Linked DNA regions of Macaca fascicularis. The protein of the gene in region 1 interacts with the protein of each later gene in a biochemical or structural test. Links are inferred from orthologs where the notes say so. Each region holds a gene or a part of one and is shown in the gene's direction. Other genes may lie near its edges.

Evidence for each region.
Region 2: the proteins of PTPN11 (region 1) and ERBB4 form a complex in vitro, tested with the Homo sapiens proteins (2 studies listed by BioGRID, with this or other methods). The link is inferred for Macaca fascicularis from reciprocal best matches to the Homo sapiens genes PTPN11 and ERBB4.
Region 3: the proteins of PTPN11 (region 1) and SIRPA form a complex in vitro, tested with the Homo sapiens proteins (2 studies listed by BioGRID). The link is inferred for Macaca fascicularis from reciprocal best matches to the Homo sapiens genes PTPN11 and SIRPA.

The regions. Positions count from the first base shown.
Region 1 is NC_088385.1:119,340,683-119,344,433, forward strand, and holds the start of PTPN11 (tyrosine-protein phosphatase non-receptor type 11), read left to right. Parts: upstream 1-899; 5' UTR 900-1,106; coding exon 1,107-1,120; intron 1,121-3,751. UniProt on the Homo sapiens protein: Acts downstream of various receptor and cytoplasmic protein tyrosine kinases to participate in the signal transduction from the cell surface to the nucleus. Positively regulates MAPK signal transduction pathway. Dephosphorylates GAB1, ARHGAP35 and EGFR.
Region 2 is NC_088386.1:107,518,826-107,522,476, reverse strand, and holds part of ERBB4 (receptor tyrosine-protein kinase erbB-4), read left to right. Parts: intron 1-1,625; coding exon 1,626-1,825; intron 1,826-3,651. UniProt on the Homo sapiens protein: Tyrosine-protein kinase that plays an essential role as cell surface receptor for neuregulins and EGF family members and regulates development of the heart, the central nervous system and the mammary gland, gene transcription, cell proliferation, differentiation, migration and apoptosis.
Region 3 is NC_088384.1:85,367,115-85,370,765, reverse strand, and holds part of SIRPA (tyrosine-protein phosphatase non-receptor type substrate 1), read left to right. Parts: intron 1-1,919; coding exon 1,920-2,168; 3' UTR 2,169-3,651. UniProt on the Homo sapiens protein: Immunoglobulin-like cell surface receptor for CD47. Acts as docking protein and induces translocation of PTPN6, PTPN11 and other binding partners from the cytosol to the plasma membrane.

The DNA.
Region 1 (3,751 bases):
AAAGTAGTATTTGTTATTATTATTATCGAGACGGAGTTTGGCTCTATTGCAGGCTGGAGCGCAGTGGTGCGACCTCGGCTCACCGCAACCTCTGCCTCCCAGGTTCAAGCGATTCTCCTGCCTCAGCCTCCCAAGTAGCTGAGATTACAGGCGAACGCCACCACGTCCAGCTCATTTTTGAATTTTTAGTGGAGACCATGTTGGCCAGGATGGTCTCGATCTCTTGACCTCGTGATCCGCCCGCCTCGGCCTCCCAAAGTGCTGGGATTACGGGCGTGAGCCACCGCGCCCGGTCTATTACTAGTTTTTTTAGGCAGTGTCTTGCTGTCGCCCAGGCTGGAGGGCAGTGGCGTGATCACGACTCACTGCAGCACCGACTTCCCGGGCTTAAGTTATCCTCCCGCCGCAGCCTCCACGCCTGGCTAGGGTTTTGCATTTTTTGTAGAGATGAGGTCTTTTTTGCCCAGGCTGGCCTCTAGCTCCTAGGCTTAAGCGACACTCTTGCTGCAGCCTCCTAAATTGTTGGGGTTACGGGCGTGAGCCACCGCGCCCAGCCTAATGGAGGAAACTGAGGCTCGGAGACAGTAGGTAATTCCCCAAGGTTCCACAGCTAATGAGTCGAGTGGCGATTTGTGGAACGAAATGAATGAAATCGATGTGGCAGTGGGCCCGGACGCGCCCGGTCGGTGGAGTGGCGTAGCCGCCGAGCGCGCAGCTCACACCCGGCGGCCGCGATTTCCGGGAGGAAGCAAGGATGCTTTGGACGCTGCGCTTAGCGCCTCCGCGGAACCCCCGCGCTGCCATTCCCGGCCGTGGCTCCGTCCTCGGCTAACGGGAAGCAGGAAGTGGCGGCGGGCGTCGCTAGCGGTGACATCACGGGGGCGACGGCGGCGAAGGGCGGGGGCGGAGGAGGAGCGAGCCGGGCCGGGGGGCGGCTGCACAGTCTCCGGGATCCCCAGGCCTGGAGGGGGGTCTGTGCGCGGCCGGCTGGCTCTGCCCCGCGTCCGGTCCCGAGCGGGCCTCCCTCGGGCCAGCCCGATGTGACCGAGCCTAGTGGAGCTTGAGCAAGGAGCGGGTCCGTCGCGGAGCCGGAGGGCGGGAGGAACATGACATCGCGGAGGTGAGGAGCCCCGAGGGGCCCGGCCCGGGCCTCGGCCCGGCCCCCGCCGCATTCGGTCAGCCCCGTCCGGAAGGGGGCGCCCCGGCCGGGCTTCGGGCTCCCGCCCCGGATCGGGATTGGGGGCCAGTTCCCTCCTCGTCCCCTGTCCCTCCTCGGCCCGGGGGCCGGCCCCACCGCGCCCCCACCCCTTGGGTCCCCATTCATTTCCTGCCTCCCTGAGTTCCGGCTGCGGCAGCCCGGGGGATGCCCGTCAGGCCTGGGGCAGGTAGAGCCGCCTAGGGAACCACGGGCGCCAGCGGCCCGGCTCAGCGCCGCATTCCTGACCCATTGCCTCATGAGAATTGCCTCATGGTGATTCCGAAATAACCCTGCTCACTTGGGGAGGCTCCTTGGGACACGAGATGGGAGTTGCGCGGGGCCGGGCCCCCAGTGGTCTAGTCGTTCTGGGTCACTGTGCCACTTGCGTGCATTTGGGGTCTTAACGAAGGACCCCTGACCCTTTTATGTGCCCCTTTGTGTCTTCTTTTTCTCCCACCCCTCACGTGCCAGAAATGGAAAAACTGACTGTATCTGCAGCCACTAGAAGTATTTCCTTCCTCTGCGATATTCGCTTTGGGAGATGGAAAGGAAGGGAGCCGCATCTCGTTATTTAATCCTTCACTGCAACCTTAACAGTCAGGTCACTTTACTGGTACCCGTTTTATGGATGAGGAAACCGAGGCCCAGAAGCAACATGCTAGTAAATGACAAGATTTGAAACTAAGGAGAATTAGTGAGTTAATGAGATCCTTTGAAAGATCAGGGTAATATTACTACTAATAGCTAACATTTGCTTAGTTCTGACGACAGCCCTCTCAGATGGCTACTATTATCCCCATTGTAAAGATGAGTAAACCGAGTTTCGGAGAGGTTAAGTAGATTGCTTAACCTCACAGCTAGTAGGTGGTGGAGACAGAATCCCTACTTTTAATCACTATGTTGCTTCTATTATTTTGTAACTATTGCTAACCACTTGTAAGCCTTAATTTTGTTGTCAAACAGTAGTGTGACTTGTTTTCAGATAATGATCCTGCTATTTTATATAATCACTCTATATACCACTCACACTTAAGACCCATTGTCTATTCTTTTCCATGGTTGTTCAATTATGGTCACTGTCTCAGACATTTAAAAAACGATTCAAGCTATTGAGGCTATTTGAATGAGATTTTTTTTTCTTTCTTTTTTTTTCTCTTTTTTTGAGACGGAGTCTCACTCTGTTAACAGCCCAGGCTGGAGTGCAGTGGCACGATCTCGGCTCACCACAACCTCCGCCTCCTAGGTTCAAGCGATTCTCCTGCCTCAACCTCCCAAGTAGCTGGGACTATCGGCATGCCACTATGCCTGGCTAATTTTTTTTTTTTTTTTTTTTTTTTTTTTTTTTTTTTTTTTTTTGAGACGGAGTCATGCTCTGTCGCCCAGGCTGGAGTGCAGTGGCCGGATCTCAGCTCACTGCAAGCTCCGCCTCCCGGGTTCACGCCATTCTCCTGCCTCAGCCTCCCAAGTAGCTGGGACTACAGGCGCCCGCCACTTCGCCCTGCTAGTTTTTTGTATTTTTTAGTAGAGACGGGGTTTCACCGTGTTAGCCAGGATGGTCTCCATCTCCTGACCTCGTGATTCGCCCGTCTCGGCCTCCCAAAGTGCTGGGATTACAGGCTTGAGCCACTGCGCCCGGCCTAATTTTTTTTTTTGAAACAGAGTCTCGCTCTCTTGCCCAGGCTGGAGTGCCGTGGCGCAATCTCGGCTCACTACAAGCTCCGCCTTCTGGGTTCAAGCCATCCTCCTGCCTCAGCCTCTCAAGTAGCTGGGACTACAGGTGCCCGCCACGACGTCTGGCGAATGTTTTGTATTTTTAGTAGAGACGGGGTTTCACCATGTTAGCCGGGATGGTCTCGATCTCCTGACCTTGTGATCCGCCCGCCTCGGCCTCCCAAAGTGCTGGAATTACAAGCATGAGCCACCGTGCCCGGCCGAGTTTTGTATTTTTAGTAGAGACGGGGTTTCACTATGTTGGCCAGATTGGTCTTAAACTCCTGACCTCGAGATCCGCCTGCCTCGGCCTCCCAAAGTGCTGGAATTACAGGCGTGAGCCACCGCACCCGGCCTGAATGAGATTTTTCAAAATATTAGGAATGTCTCCTCCAAACAGACCTGGCATGTTATTCTTACATGGATCTGGAATTTAAAAAGGGGAGAAAAAAGAAAACAGAACTCGTAGGAAGTGAGTGACTTGGACAGGTCTGTTGGCAAGTGCTTGCGGATCTGGGTAATATATAACTGCATTTCAACGGAACAGTGTATAGCCTCAAATGTTCTAATTCTTTAGGGAGCTTTTAAATAAACAGTTGTCTATTCTTTAATCTGTCTAATAGTCATTGAGCCTTTTGTTCCTGGTGTCTGCTCTTCCAGACAAGTAAGGATTTGCTGCTTTAGGGGGCTGAGGGTTGGGAAAAGATCTGTGTAGTATTAGACCCTACATTGTCCAGTTTGTTAGTTTAGAAGCATGGAAGTGTGGGCATAGTCAAAGCAGCAAGTGGTAAAGATGACAGTTTGAAATGGAGTTGTTCCTTTTCCCCTCCAGCCCTGGTATTG
Region 2 (3,651 bases), on another chromosome or scaffold:
TCGGGTGTATAGGATACACATGCTGTTGTGCCAGGAGATTCTGTTCTTGTCTCTGGTGCTATAATTTGAACTACACATCACAGGGCTGATGTTTTAGGAACAGGTCCGCCATTCTACATGTTCTGCTGGTTAATAAATGGACAAGAAAATTCAGGTTTAGAAGGACATTGATAAAATTATAATGTCAATAATTTAAATTCACATTATAAGAGTAAATAACAGGTTTCTTCAATGTCATCTGTATGACGTTCTTATTTATGAGCAATTAAAAGTCAATTTACATAAGAATTTTTAAAATTTGTTTACTTAAGTTCAAAATATCTCCAAAATTAATATCATCATTGATTTTATAATAATGTTTTATAAAAAGTACATTGAATTTCACTATTAAAATTTAAAAGTTATATTTATAAGAGGTTTTAAAAATGTAAAGGAAAAAGGAGCTTAATAAGAAAGGATAGTCAAGAGATACAATCTATTAAAGTGCTATATGTAAACAACTTTTACTATCCATTGAATAAATATTATAAGCCAATCGAGACATTGTGCTAACATTGTAATCAACAACTCAAGATAGTTATGATGGGGACAAAATTTGAGAGAAAGAGCTGCATCTTGGTCTTTATCATTGAGCATACACACACACAAACACACACACACACACACATTCTGACAACCATGGAAGATAAATCTAAATATTAACAGCAAAGAATATTTAAAACTAAAAATAAAAGTGGAAAGCATTGATCTCCAAAATGTAAAATAATATTCATTAACTGATTGAAATATGGGAAGCATGTTTATGCTTTAGAGAATGGAAAAGTAAATAAGTAAAAAAAGAAAATAAGTAAAAAAGTAAATAATTACAATAATGTGGATTATATTAAAATAAAAGTAGTTTCCTTGATTTTTCAATCGTCAGTCACTCAAAGTAATATTAGTATTTTCCAAGCATGGAGTGCATGATGTGAGCAATTCTAAACAGGGTAGTTGTTATTTAACTTTTAGAGACCTTTTCCCCAGATACCCAAGGCATCTGAGTTTGTTTTCTTTTTCTAATTTTAGTTTAGTTTTATTCTTTACTTTTTACCGTCTCCTAACCTTACTTACACATGCCTCAATTATTACAGTTCTGGTGTCTGAGGTATTAAAGTAAAGCTAAATACCTATAATCATTTTCTGAAATTATTTAGACATACTCTGAAAGTATGTCTATATGTCTAAATCTATTACATAAAAAGGAATTAATGTCTTACTTTGAGTAGATGAACGATTGTTTTATAAACACTTCTTTAGTGTTAATACAGGATTTCATCATTGAACAATGTAAAGTTAAGGCTTGGGGTGGGAAGATAGTGAGCAGATATTTCAGTGGTAAATATATACACAGAGATACACTGCCAATATGCATAACTGTAAGCAATGGAAATTTTACTTTGGGAGGTCAAATTGTTACTTTAAAAACTGTATATAGCATGTAAAAACAAATATCATTCAAAACACAGAGTTACTGATTCAGTCTCTATTTACACTCCATTAACATTCTTTTAAAAATAAAATATGACAGCCTTATTTTACTCCAGAATGTGTCTCATGGTTCCATTTTCTCCCTTCCCCCTCCTTAGTGGCCTCTCCTTGCTTATCCTCAAGCAACAGGGCATCACCTCTCTACAGTTCCAGTCCCTGAAGGAAATCAGCGCAGGAAACATCTATATTACTGACAATAGCAACTTGTGTTATTATCATACCATTAACTGGACAACACTCTTCAGCACAATCAACCAAAGAATAGTTATCCGGGACAATAGAAAAGCTGAAAACTGTAGTAAGTACATTACTCAGACATTTAAAACATAGAAACTTAATTTTTTTCCCATTCTTTTTTGGACCAAAAAATTAAAAATAACATCAGGTCAGAATTGTTGCTTTGTTATCCCAACCCTTAAAAAGGAAGGTAGTTATTACAATTGCCAATATGATATAAAATAATCAGAGTAAGTGACTTTCTACAACATATGGCATATTTATTTGCAAGATGTCTTACCTAATCTTAAGAACGCTCCTGTGGAGATTTGAATTCAGTATGTCTAAATGGAACCTGGGTATTTAAATCATTGGCATCCCAGGTAATTTCAAGGATCCAGTCAATGTGTGGAGATCCACCCTATTGAATTCTCTGTTTGTTGTTTGGTTTCAGTGAGTTTCATAACAGAATAACAGAGTTTTGCCATTTAGAGGTGGTGAGAAAAATGAAGTTGTATTTTTCTAACATGTGTAAAAACTACTATTCAAGAAGTACATTGTTCAAGATGTTTTGTTGTTCAGAAAGAAAGTTTACTTTATTAATGCATTTATGTAGACATGTATTTATCATTTTTTCATCTGTTTTGCTACTTATTGATTCATTTAATAATTTCTCATTTACTCTGAAGCAAATAATGCTTTTGTAGGCACATGACTATGCCATTCCTATCTAATGCACTGATATTCCAATGATTTATACTTCATTCTTCCCTGTTTTTCTACTGAATACTACTCTTTCCTACATCCTATGAGTGCCACTATTATGAGTACAATCATCAGACTTATTATGGTAAATACTGAATAAAAAGACTCCGCACTCAAATGATCTGTTTGCAAATGAATATTCTTGTTGTGGGCACAAAATCAATCCGTTCTAAAAGGCAGAACCCTAGAAAATTCTGCTCTCAGAGTATTTTCTTACTTCTTTGATCTCTCCATTAAAACAATCATAAGGGTATACATGAGTAATGATTGAGTTTGTGTGTGTGTGTGTGTGTGTGTGTGTGTGAATAAATAGAAGACTTTTTTAAAAGTTATAAACTCTTAAGAGGCCAACATAATTTGTTTATTGAGTTTTCAGTGAATTAATTGATTTATTAAGATCCCATCTTGTTCCAGAAATAATTTAAGACAGCTCAGTCTACTAATCTTCATAAAATATAATTTATGATTAATTCTCTTATATTTTAGCTCTTTTCGATCCTTAAAAATATTTCGAAATGAAGGAGATCTATCCCAATATGAGATTCCTGCTAAGAGTGAACTTAAGTTCTTACTCATTCTTCTGTTCCACATAGAATCACGAAATATAAAATCTAATTGTGTATCAAAATATGCATGTTATATTGAATGATATTCATTATTTCATTTGGCCTATGTTATTTCCTTGGTTTTACACATTACTGATTTCTAAAAGAAAATTTGCTTTGCTTTTTCCCTAATGCTTAAGCTTATCCCACATCACAATATGTGTGTGTATATGCCCCAAAGTAGATGATTCATGGCAATAAGATAGATTCTTCTTCAATACCAATTGATAAATGTTTCCCTAAATCAGGGTTATACTCTTGTTTCCTTCGACATCCTTAAAAAAATTAGTACCTCTATCTTTCAAAAATTTAACTATGAATTCAAAATAATGTAAAGAAATATATAAAAGAATCAGAAAAAAACATTCTTCCTCTTTGATGCACTTAATCAGTTTACAAATCCTACAAAAATTCATATTTCATATATCTTTCTATACTTGAAAAGCAAATGGGAAGAAGAAAATGCAAAAAATAAATGTAGGGAAACAAGATGAGAAAAAGGGATATTTCAGTAAATTATATAATGTTATTTTACACT
Region 3 (3,651 bases), on another chromosome or scaffold:
CAGGTCCTGCTCTGAACCCGGAACGAGAGTGCGCCAGCTGTCCTTGACATTTCCAAGGCAGTTGTCATCTTTTTAGATGTAATCTGTTGTCGGGCTGGTGAAAGGCACAGCATTTGTAGATCAAAATGCCTTGGCCCTGCCCTTGTGACCCATGGGGTACCCCGGCAGCCCCGGACATGAGCTCAGGTAGTAATTAGGAAAAACAAAACCGTTTCCAGTCATGAGAGAGGGAGACCTTCTCCCCTGTCATTCTACTTCTGAACTTCCTCCTGGAATCTTCTGGGGGAAAAAAATGATGGTGGAAAAACGGGTCATGGACACCTGCACGAAATTCACATCAGCAGAGACTTACCGGGCACCCACTATGTGCCGCGCACTGGACAGCCAGACAGTCACGGCCCAGCTGGCAGAGTGCCTGCGATTCCAGTGCCAGGTGCTAGCCCTGGCCAGGGAGGGAGTTGCATGCTATCAACATGGATTTCCCAGACAGAAGTAAATGAGAGCACGCAGGGCTCAGGACAGGAGCTGTGTGCTAAGAGCACAGCCGCAGAGTCCAACACACTTTGGTTCTTTGCCAGCTGGACAACTTTGTCCACTTTATTTAACCTCCCTTGGTCTCAGTGTCTTCAGCTGTAAAGTGGAATAGATAATCCTTCCCAAGTAGGTTGTGGTAAGAGTGGATGGGTGATCTGTGTGGTTGTGTGCTGCTTGTAAGCCCTGAGAACTGAAATGGGCCATTACCGTGCACCAGTTAGGAGGTGTGCCGGTTGGTGGTAGCTTTATTCTGTTCTATCACGCAGGGGCCAGTCACAGAGGAAGCAAAGTTTATCATTCATGATGGGCGATTTTGAGGTAGCAGTGGCAGGTTGATAGGATTAGCACATGGGAGGTATCCAGGTTTGCTAAGTGGTTAATGATTGCGAACATTTATTGAAGACAGATGCTCAATATGTACCAGGCTCTTTTCTAAACGCTTTACCTGGATAATCTCATTCCATTCTCACAGCAACCCTGGCAGTAGACACTATTATCATCCCCTCTTTACAGATGGAGAAACTGAGACCCAGAGAGGTTAAGTGAGTTGCTCAAAATCCCTGAGCTAGAACCAGGATTCAAACCCAGACTTTCTGACTCCAGAATGTTTCCCGCTTTGCCAACTGGCGATCTCATTCTTATACTGCCCCTGTTCTCTGTCTCCCTGTCTCCAGCTTTGCCCTGAGTGAAGCTGAAATTATTGCCATCCTATTTATTCAGTATGAATCAGACTTCTTCTGTGCCAGCCTTGGTTTCTGAATCATAACAAATGCCCAGTGAATATTTGTGGAATAAATGCGTACATTAATGAATGTCCCCACACACATCACCATCAGCACCTACTCAGGCCCCCAAACAGACACGGTCCTGGGTGGTGGGTCCTGCGATGGAAAACAAACATGGGCTGAGGAAGCACAAAGAAGGAACCTGGACCCTGCCAGGAGAGGGGAGGGCCAGGAAGGGTCTTAGGATGAGCCGTGCTTCATCTGAAATTTACAGGGTGGACTGGGATTTGTTACAAGGAGAAGCAGGACAGACACCCTTGGCAGAGGGAGGAACATGAGAAATGGGCGAAGACTGCAGGTGGTTCAGGCTGGGAGGAGGCAGGAGCGGGAGGAGGTGACACTGAGGCGGGGCTGTGAGGGAACCACACTGTGTGAGTCAGAAAGACCCTTCAGGCAGGGTGAGGAGGAGGGTGGATGGGAAGGGGCAAGGCTGGAGGCAAGTAACGTTGGCAAGAGATGAGGGGAACAGGACTTATGGCTGAGCCAGTGTGGGCCGAGAGGACACAGAAGCATCCAGACTTGGTATTTAGTCTGAGTGAGTGGGCCAGGGCCTCTAGAATGACCTTCTCATGACTTTCTCTTTGGGTATTTTAAATCCAGGACACAAATGATATCACATATGCAGACCTGAACCTGCCCAAGGGGAAGAAGCCCGCTCCCCGGGCCGCGGAGCCCAACAACCACACAGAGTATGCCAGCATTCAGACCAGCCCGCAGCCCGCATCGGAGGACACCCTCACCTACGCTGACCTGGACATGGTCCACCTCAACCGAACCCCCAAGCAGCCGGCCCCCAAGCCCGAGCCATCCTTCTCAGAGTATGCCAGCGTCCAGGTCCCGAGGAAGTGAATGGGACCGTGGTTTGCTCTAGCACCCATCTCCACGTGCTTTCTTGTCCCACAGGGAGCCGCCGTGATGAGCACAGCCAACCCAGTTCCCGGAGGGCTGGGGCGGTGCAGGCTCTGGGACCCAGGGGCCAGGGTGGCTCTTCTCTCCCCACCCCTTCTTGGCTCTCCAGCACTTCCTGGGCAGCCACGGCCCCCTCCCCCCACATTGCCACACACCTGGAGGCTGATGGTGCCAAACCAGCCAGGGAACCGACCTGGGAAGTGGCCAGAACTGCCTGGGGTCCAAGAACTCTTGTGCCTCCGTCCATCACCACGTGGGTCTCGAAGACCCTTGACTGCCTCCCCGATGCTCCGAAGCCTGAGCTTCCAGGGTGGTCCCCTGACCACCACCACCACCACCCCCCACCCAACTGGGGCTTAAGGGGGGAAGATTTCCCCTTTAGATCAAACTGCCCCTTCCATGGAAAAGCTGGAAAAAAATCTCTGGAACCCATATCCAGACTTGGTGAGGTTGCTGCCAACAGTCCTGGCCTCCCCCATCCCTAGGCTAAAGAGCCATGAGTCCTGGAGGAGGAGAGGACCCCTCCCAAAGGACTGGAGACAAAACCCTCCGCTTCCTTGGGTCTCTCCAAGACTCCCTGGGGCCCAACTGCGTTGCTCCACCCAGACCCATCTCTCCCTTCTAGACCTGAGCTTGCCCCTCCAGCTAGCACTAAGCAACATCTCGCTGTGGACGCCTGTAAATTACTGAGAAATGTGAAACGTGCAATCTTGAAACTGAGGTGTTAGAAAACTTGATCTGTGGTGTTTTGTTTTGTTTTTTTCTTAAAACAACAGCAACGTGATCTTGGCTCTCTGTCATGTGTTGAAGTCCATGGTTGGGTCTTGTGAAGTCTGAGGTTTAACAGTTTGTTGTCCTGGAGGGATTTTCTTACAGCAAAGACTGAGTTCCTCCAAGTCCCAGAACCCCAAGAACGGGCAAGAAGGATCAGGTCAGCTGCTCCCTGGAGACACTTAGCCTTCTAACTGGGACTGACTTGGCCAAGTTCTCAGCCGAGCCACGCGGCTGGTACTGCAGCCTTCTGTGACCCCGCCGTGGTAAGTCCAGCCTGCTGAGGGCTGCCTCTTGACAGTGCAGTCTTGTCGAGACCTAACGCCTCAGTCTGCTCATCCGTAAAGTGGGGATAGTGAGGATGACACCCCTCCCCACCACCTCTCATAAGCACTTTAGGAACACATAGTAAAGGGTAGGGAGAGTGGCTCTGGCCGTGTGTCCTACCCCTTTAGTGTCCACCCCCATCCCGGCTTTCCGAGCTGATCCTTGAAGAAGAAATCTTCCATTTCTGTGCTCAGACCCTACTGGGATCAAACTGGAATAAATTGAAGACAGCCAGGGGGGTGGTACAGCTGTGAAGCTCGGGCTGATTCCCACTCTGTCCCAGAAGGTTGGCCAGAGGGGTGACCCAGTATTCAGTCTTCACTAT